2 linked regions of the Schizosaccharomyces pombe genome follow. The protein of the gene in region 2 purifies or fractionates together with the protein of the main gene of each other region. This does not show direct contact. Each region holds a gene or a part of one and is shown on either strand. Other genes may lie near its edges.

The links. Proteins that work in one complex are often made in the same cells at the same time.
Region 1: the proteins of png3 (region 2) and nts1 purify together in Schizosaccharomyces pombe (affinity purification with western blotting; one study listed by BioGRID). This does not show direct contact.

What each region holds. Positions count from the first base shown.
Region 1 is NC_003421.2:933,302-937,063, forward strand, and holds the start of nts1 (protein Nts1), read right to left. Parts: upstream 1,855-3,762; 5' UTR 1,623-1,854; coding exon 1,463-1,622; exon of another isoform or gene 1,394-1,462; intron 984-1,393; coding exon 1-983.
Region 2 is NC_003424.3:3,522,632-3,526,128, forward strand, and holds png3 (protein Png3), read right to left. Parts: upstream 1,734-3,497; 5' UTR 1,574-1,733; exon of another isoform or gene 1,532-1,573; 5' UTR 1,468-1,531; coding exon 1,413-1,467; exon of another isoform or gene 1,366-1,412; coding exon 1,294-1,365; intron 1,014-1,293; coding exon 505-1,013; downstream 1-504. Other genes in the region: SPOM_SPAC16E8.18 (uncharacterized protein), read right to left, coding at 19-342; SPOM_SPAC16E8.13 (ubiquitin-protein ligase E3), read left to right, coding at 2,673-3,497.

The DNA.
Region 1 (3,762 bases), on a different chromosome or scaffold from region 2:
AGCCGTTGTTCCTTCTACCGGTTTGTGATGGCCACGTAGCATTTCTTCTGTTGCCGCAGTCGCTTTTTCAACATTTTTTCTGCTTTTGTTCTCTTGAATGTCATTAAGTTCTTTCAGCACTTCAGTTGTGTTTGTTGTAGTGCTTTCGGGAACCGGTGATGATTTGGTCGAAGTAGTGGTACTTGTTAAGTAAGAGATTCTAGGTACGATATTTTCTTCAGGGATTTGATCACGTTGAGGGCGTATGTCATAATTGATTTTCTCAACAACGGCTGCAATCTGTTGTTTCAGAATACTCGAAGATTTAACCTCTGATGAAAACCTTTCCATTCGAGGGTTAATAGGCTTTGATACGTTCTCGACATTATCAGCGCTTTCCAAAGCTAAATTAGGAAAAGACATTGGCGTCCCTTGTGTTGATCTCAATGTTGACGAAGTAAATATATCTGAAACGACCAACACTCTTTGGGCCTTCAAAAAAGCCAAAAGAACTGAAGGATTGGACCATAATTCATAAGCATTTCGAAATGATGGATCATAAAATATTTGACTTCCATACTGAATACAGAGATTAGCCACAGCTTTCCGATCACAGGTATGCTGTGATACACGGATTAACCAAGTAGGGTCAACGGCTAGTAAAGTAGCATGCGTGGTATTTGTTTCAACGTCGGTTTCCAAAGAGTCTAAACATTGTATGACAATTTGATTTAAGAAGTTTTTTTCCTCAACGGGAGTGGCCGTTTTTTTCTGTGCTTCAGTGAGAGTAGCATAGGAGTTAAAGTCCTGCACTTTTGAGGTTGAAATGCTAGCGACTGCAGAGTCTCGAACAGGGACGAACGCTGAGTTGGGAGTTAGCCGACAAATGTTTTCTTCTTTGTTGGCAAACCGCAAACTGCGGTATTGTCGGATTAGTACGGGACGCGCATAGGTTTTTCGACTACTAAGATCCTCTGCATCTATTGGAAGTCTTTCATAAGGAACTGCATTAACGGTTAGAAATTTTAATAAAAAAGAAATAAAACATCAAAAAAGAAATCGATTTTTCAAGTGACATTGTAGTAGATTTGAATTTTCAGTCATCATAATTTTTTTATACAATCATTTGCTTTACAGAAAACTGTACGGTTAAATCTCCCAAACATTTTTCCTAGGGAAATAAAAACCCAAGGGCTAAATGTTGAAATCAACCATTCAATTTCGAACAGAAACAACAAAAAATATAATTAACGACCAACGCCACAGTCTCATCCAACCACTCATGCCAAGTCATGAATAGAGTAAAATTTTATATGTTTCTTTGAGAAAATTGAATTGATATAACCTTAGAGTTATAGGCGTGCAAAATGTTTGATAAAAGATCATCAAAATTGCTATCAAGCATACGACGATCAATTGAAAATTCACAATTTTAGAAAAAGCGATAAAAATAAACTTGATTATATCTAATATTCATTCTTACCTAGAGTTAAAAGGCAGTTGTACAAACGACCTCGATCGTCATATTCAAAAATGTTGCGAACGAATGTATCAAGTTCCTCGGTCTGTAGAGGATGGAATGCACTCTGCAAAAATGAAAAGAACTCATCAATATCCGGTTTTTTTTGACACGATTTCACCATTACTCTGTGAGTTTTGAGTCATATATATTAAGTAGATCAATGTTGTCTTCAGTTATTAAGAAACAAATAGCGAGGGTATTGAAAGGAAATATATACCAAAAAAACAAATATTTTAATGAATTCAGTTAATCATGTGTCAATAAATTGTGAATTTAATCTCTATATTATTAACAAATTGATTCAAGTGCTCCGTCGACTGATTCACTGTCTGCAATACTGTTTGGTAGTTTGCAAGTTTCAACGGTAGTCGATTACTAGAACGTAAACATATACTTTACACAATCACTACATGTTAAAACACTTGAAAACAAAAATTCCAATAAGCTTTAATTTCTATTAAAATTTACATCTCTATTGTTTTGACACCAAAAGCGCTAAGGTGAAAGTATACGATAAAATGTAAGTACGGTACAAAAAATACAAAGCAATTCCTCCCGGCACTTTGAGAAGGAATTCATCCTGACGAGAGTCAGAACAAAAAAAGAGAGAGGATCGTGCTTTATTACCAGACGTTCTGATAATCATTACTGAGACATATCAGTGATGCAATCCTTAGTGCTGCAATAATAATTAAAGAATATTTCAAGGAACTAAAGGAATCTTTCTAACTTTGATTATATAAAATAATTTTAATATTCTAGTGATGAAAAGATTATTCCTCGTTCGTTTTTTGGTTTACTATTTCATTTATCACGAATAGTGCTACAACTAATATGTAAACTTTTACGTTTAATACTGATGAATCATGTGAGATGTCGATTGAAATCTTTAAAAGATATTCTTACGTATAACTAACTCTCAACTTCTTTTATAGCCACGGTTGTAATATTTCTATTACATAGGATTCATCTGCATTAGGACAGTTAATTTCAAACAAATGGATACTTCTGTAGTTTTCTGAAATGTCTTCTCGAATTTTTTACCTCTCATTTAAATGAATTATAAGAAGCTAAAGAACAATATAAATTTTTTGTGTAATTGGCAATACTACATTACAGTTAAGCCCCAAGAAGCGAGTAGAGGCACATAGTAGGGGAACTAAAGGCTCCGAAGGCCTTTACTTCAATCTTTAGGTTCATAAAATATATAACTTAAAATAACATGTCTTTTTAAATGGTAATTTATTGAATAAAACCTATTTTCAATTAACAGTGGGAGATGGGAAATTTAGTGTTTAAACATTGATTAACAATGAACTATACGAGGTAACGCAGAATATGTGTTACCCATTCAGCAAATCTTAATTGTTCATGAATCGTGGATAAGCAAGGAATATACGATCCATACATTTTTAAATACGAAGAGAATGTTAGAGAATTTCATCGATGGAAGGTCATTTTACTACTGAGAGGTAACGGTAGAATACTGCTTTTGCATTTTCCAACTTGACAGGGTTCATTCGTCAAAATCGAATATAAAGCGAAATTACAATAATAGCAAGATAGCCGTGGCATACAATTAGGTGTTATTTTATCAATTGGTGAATCTTAATACCAAATAAGAATAATGTGTATTCTGAAAGAGAGGTGCAGGAAAATGCGTATAAAGCAAGAGGAAACAGCAAAAAAAAATTATATTAATTTTGAACAACATCATTTCATCTCAAGATAAATTTGTTCCATTAGTCAATTTTTAAACATCATCAGTTTTGATAGCCCTACGGTCGGCGAATTTGCAACTTTGCATATGACACTTAAATTTAATATTTGGGATAAAAGTAAATATGGCTTGACCTCAAAAGAATGCATTTGAAAATTAACAAAATTGTATGTTTTCGGGGGGTTTTTTTTTTTTTTTTTTTTTTTTTTAAATGATCAGTGAATTTTATAAGGTATCCGATATGATTTTAACCCAGATTCAAAAACAGGAATATTATTTTATTACATTAAATTTTTGAAGCATCAAAGTCGGATATGTTTATTTTTAAACGAAATTGCTTAACAAAAGAAAATATTAAAAAAATAAAGTCTGATCATTAACAAGCTATATGATGTTTACAAAATCTACCAAAAAAAAACACATATATAAATAAAAGAGGAAGAATGAAAATTACATTTCTCGCAGTAAAAATAAAACACTAAAAGAGCTAGTGCGTACAAAACACTCCATAAATATAAAATAAATGAACATACAACAGAAA
Region 2 (3,497 bases):
AATTAATCATATACGCAATCAATCCGACCCTTCAGAGCAGTAGACAAGAGTGGTTGTTGTTCCATAAAGTACAATGCGTTTATCCCAGGTAATACGATATATCTCAGCCAAAGAGAAAGAACCAACATGTGAAAAGTAATAAACTATCACTACTAAAAGTTCAAAAGATTCGTAATGTCCGCCAAAAAACTGATAGTGGCTACAAATAGAATTTGTAGAGTAATTCAAATGTCTAAATACGTTCCTTTCTAACATAATTCCTGGTAGTATTATCAAGTAATTGTTTCCAAAACATGCAAACTCTTTAAACGTAGCATTAAGTATGAAAGAAGTTACCTCCATTCGAATCAGTATGGAAAGACATGAGTTTATATATGTTTTCAAAGTGACTTCTGTTGAATGACTAGAATTTAGTAGCTAATCCCGGATAAACTATTATTAGTGTATTTCAATTAGAAAAACAAAAAAGCAAGAATTTTAATAATATAAGGCTTTACGTAAGTTTCAAGATTTATTGTAAGAAGAAACGTTTGCACTGCTCTCTGAAGAATAGGGAGAGAATTGTTTGATGTCGAGGTCTTCATTTGTGGTCTCGGTTAATTCCTCTGTCTCTGGTAGTTTACCAGAATCCGTGATTATTTGCTTTTTATCTCCTTCCTCCGATGCGTTTTCAGCTGCTAGCAATTCTTTAGCACGGCGATTCCTTAAATTGGCTCTCCGCCGGGATGCTCTAATAGGTCTCGAAGTTTTTTGCTCTTTTATAACCTCTGGAGTGAAAGGAATAAAAAAATTTGGTAATTTCATTTCCATCTTTTGATAACAGTGTTCTAAACGTAAAACATTACTATGAGTAATTGCCTCTGCATACATTGCAATGTGGGATTTTTTTCGAGTTTGTACATCATCGGATTTTAACAGTAATGATAAGTTTCGAGCGACTAAATTACGACGTTCAACACTAGTATCTCTGTTAAGAAGGTCATCAATTGAAGAAAGAGCTTGTGAATACACATCTGAACATGTTAATCATTTTAAATCAGAAAAAGGCAAGCTCTAGATAGGCAAGTTTTGATAAGAACAACATAAACTTATTATAAGCCTCAGTAGCGTTCAAGTCCTTTTGAATAACATATTCAAGGTTCAAACAAGTCCTAAGCAGATTGATTAAACATTAACAAAGAAAATCAACACCAGAACGGTTTCACTAGTAATCTTTCATTTTTTTGTTTATTATCAAAACCTTCACAGTTGTTCAAGCAAAAAATCCCAATCTATAATGCCACTATCACTTACCCTTTAGTTCAGCCTCTAAAAAACGGACTTCCGTAAAATTTTTGGATAAATCACCCGGTATAGCTTCCAATGCTAAATAATGTAAGAAAATTATTTATTTACACATGTTCATTTATTACCGTCAGCAAGTTGTATAAGAAGATCCAAGTCATTTTCCTTTTTTGGTTTTGCCATGGCTGACGACTTGTCGATTATATACAGCTATTCATGAGGATTCTTTCTAGTTTGACTTTTATTACTTGCCCAAGGTTAGCATTGCTTTTTGCTTCCTTTTGTTTACGTCTGTAATATAAGTGCAATCGAACCAAAGAATCTCGGTTTTCCACTTATAAGGCTTGCTTCAAAGCTTTTTCAAAACTTTATTTTATATAGCTGTTCTCCAAAACACACCTAGCTTCTTTTACTTGAGTATGAACTATTGTACCTAGTTGGTAGTGGTCGTTCATGAAATGCGTTAAACTAGGAAAATATCGTCCCGAAGAAATACGGGATCCTCATGGGTCAGTGATCAGTTTTTATAATAAAGTAAAAAATTCAAGTCATTTTAAAGTATGTTCATTTCAAAAGGTTGCTTGCATTTTAGTCAATGGCCAATCCGTCAGCTTAATTAAGCACATTCATGTTTTCATACGCTTGCTTGGCACCTCTGGTTCTTTTAAGAATACAAAATTATTTTTTTAGTGATGGTCCCAGTTTATTCAAAACTATCTCCTTCTAAATGGGCTGAGAATCTGAGAACTTCCTGAATGGTACCCCCAGAATATACTAAATACATGCTTGTTAATTGTTTTTTTTAAACCGACGGGAAGAAAAGGGCAGAAACAGAATACAACATAAATTGTTATTATATTATAAAATATGCGGTTCTTGGAATCATATTAAAATCTTATCCTAGAAGTATACAACGCGAGACCGACAAGTAATTGCATAGAAACATAGCTCTTAAAGAATCGATTTTGTAAGACACTTGACCAATTGTAAAAGAAAACGAATTCCTAAAATGAAAAGTTTTCAATTCAATTTTTGCATGTTCAAATTCATGTATAATTTCACCATGCAGGCTTCAAGAGTGAGTGAATATTCTATTTTAAATTAATGCTATTTTTCTAGCTGAATAAATCCATTAATAAAATTGCTCATTTTATCATTATTTATTAGGATTCATTTTAATCGTATTGATCCGTATCTATTACCAGTAATTAAAATGAAAGTTCTTACGTAGTTCATCTAAAAATTATTTATTTTTCACTTAAATTTAAAAACTTCTCAAAAATAATAAAGGATTTGGTGTTACTAACATTACAGACCTCAGGTATTCTATTTCTACTAACACCATGCCAAGTCGTTTAGAGCCATTACCAAGTATTGATGTTTAATGCATGTATTACTACTTAGAAATTGAATGTGAGTCTCCTGTAAAAGATATTTTTACCTGTAATAAAAGGAGAGCATCTAAAGTTGTTGGTAATTCTTTTGGAGGCGATCATTTTAATTTTCGATTGGGTGAAATAAAGTTATTATCAATGGATTTTCCATCTTCTAAAGTTCCTGAGGTTGAGGAGACATCTCTTGGACATGGCGTCGTTCATTTATACAGGGTATTTCCTTCAGAAAGCCATGAATTTGATGCGCCAGGTCTAATCCTTGCGATATTGGCAATTCCCTTATATATGTCGCCCTCCGATGTATTGGGTTTTTTGGGAGAGAAACATTGCAAGTCAATCCAGCATATACGTCTTCTTAAGACGAAAGATCCAAATCGGATCATGGCGCTGTTGAAATTCAAGGATCAAGCAAGTGTTATTAGGTTCTATACAGAGTTCAATGGCAAAGCTTTTAGCCAAATAGATCCTGAAACTTGCCACGTTTTACATATTGACAAAGTAAATATAAAATATCCAATGGAGAGCTCTGATTCTTCTTCAACTGAGCAGCAACTAGTAGGCCCTTCCTCCAAACCTTTTGCTTCTACGACTCCTGCCCTTATCGAGCTTCCTACATGCGTTGTATGTTTAGAACGTATGGATTCTTCAATTACTGGTTTAATTACCATTGTGTGCCAGCATACTTTTCACTGTCCATGCTTGCAAAAATGGGGAAATTCATCATGTCCTGTATGTCGTTATACTCAAAAAGTACAGAGTTCTGAATTTCAGAGCAAATGCACTGTATGCTGTTATGATAAAGATTTATGGATTTGCTTG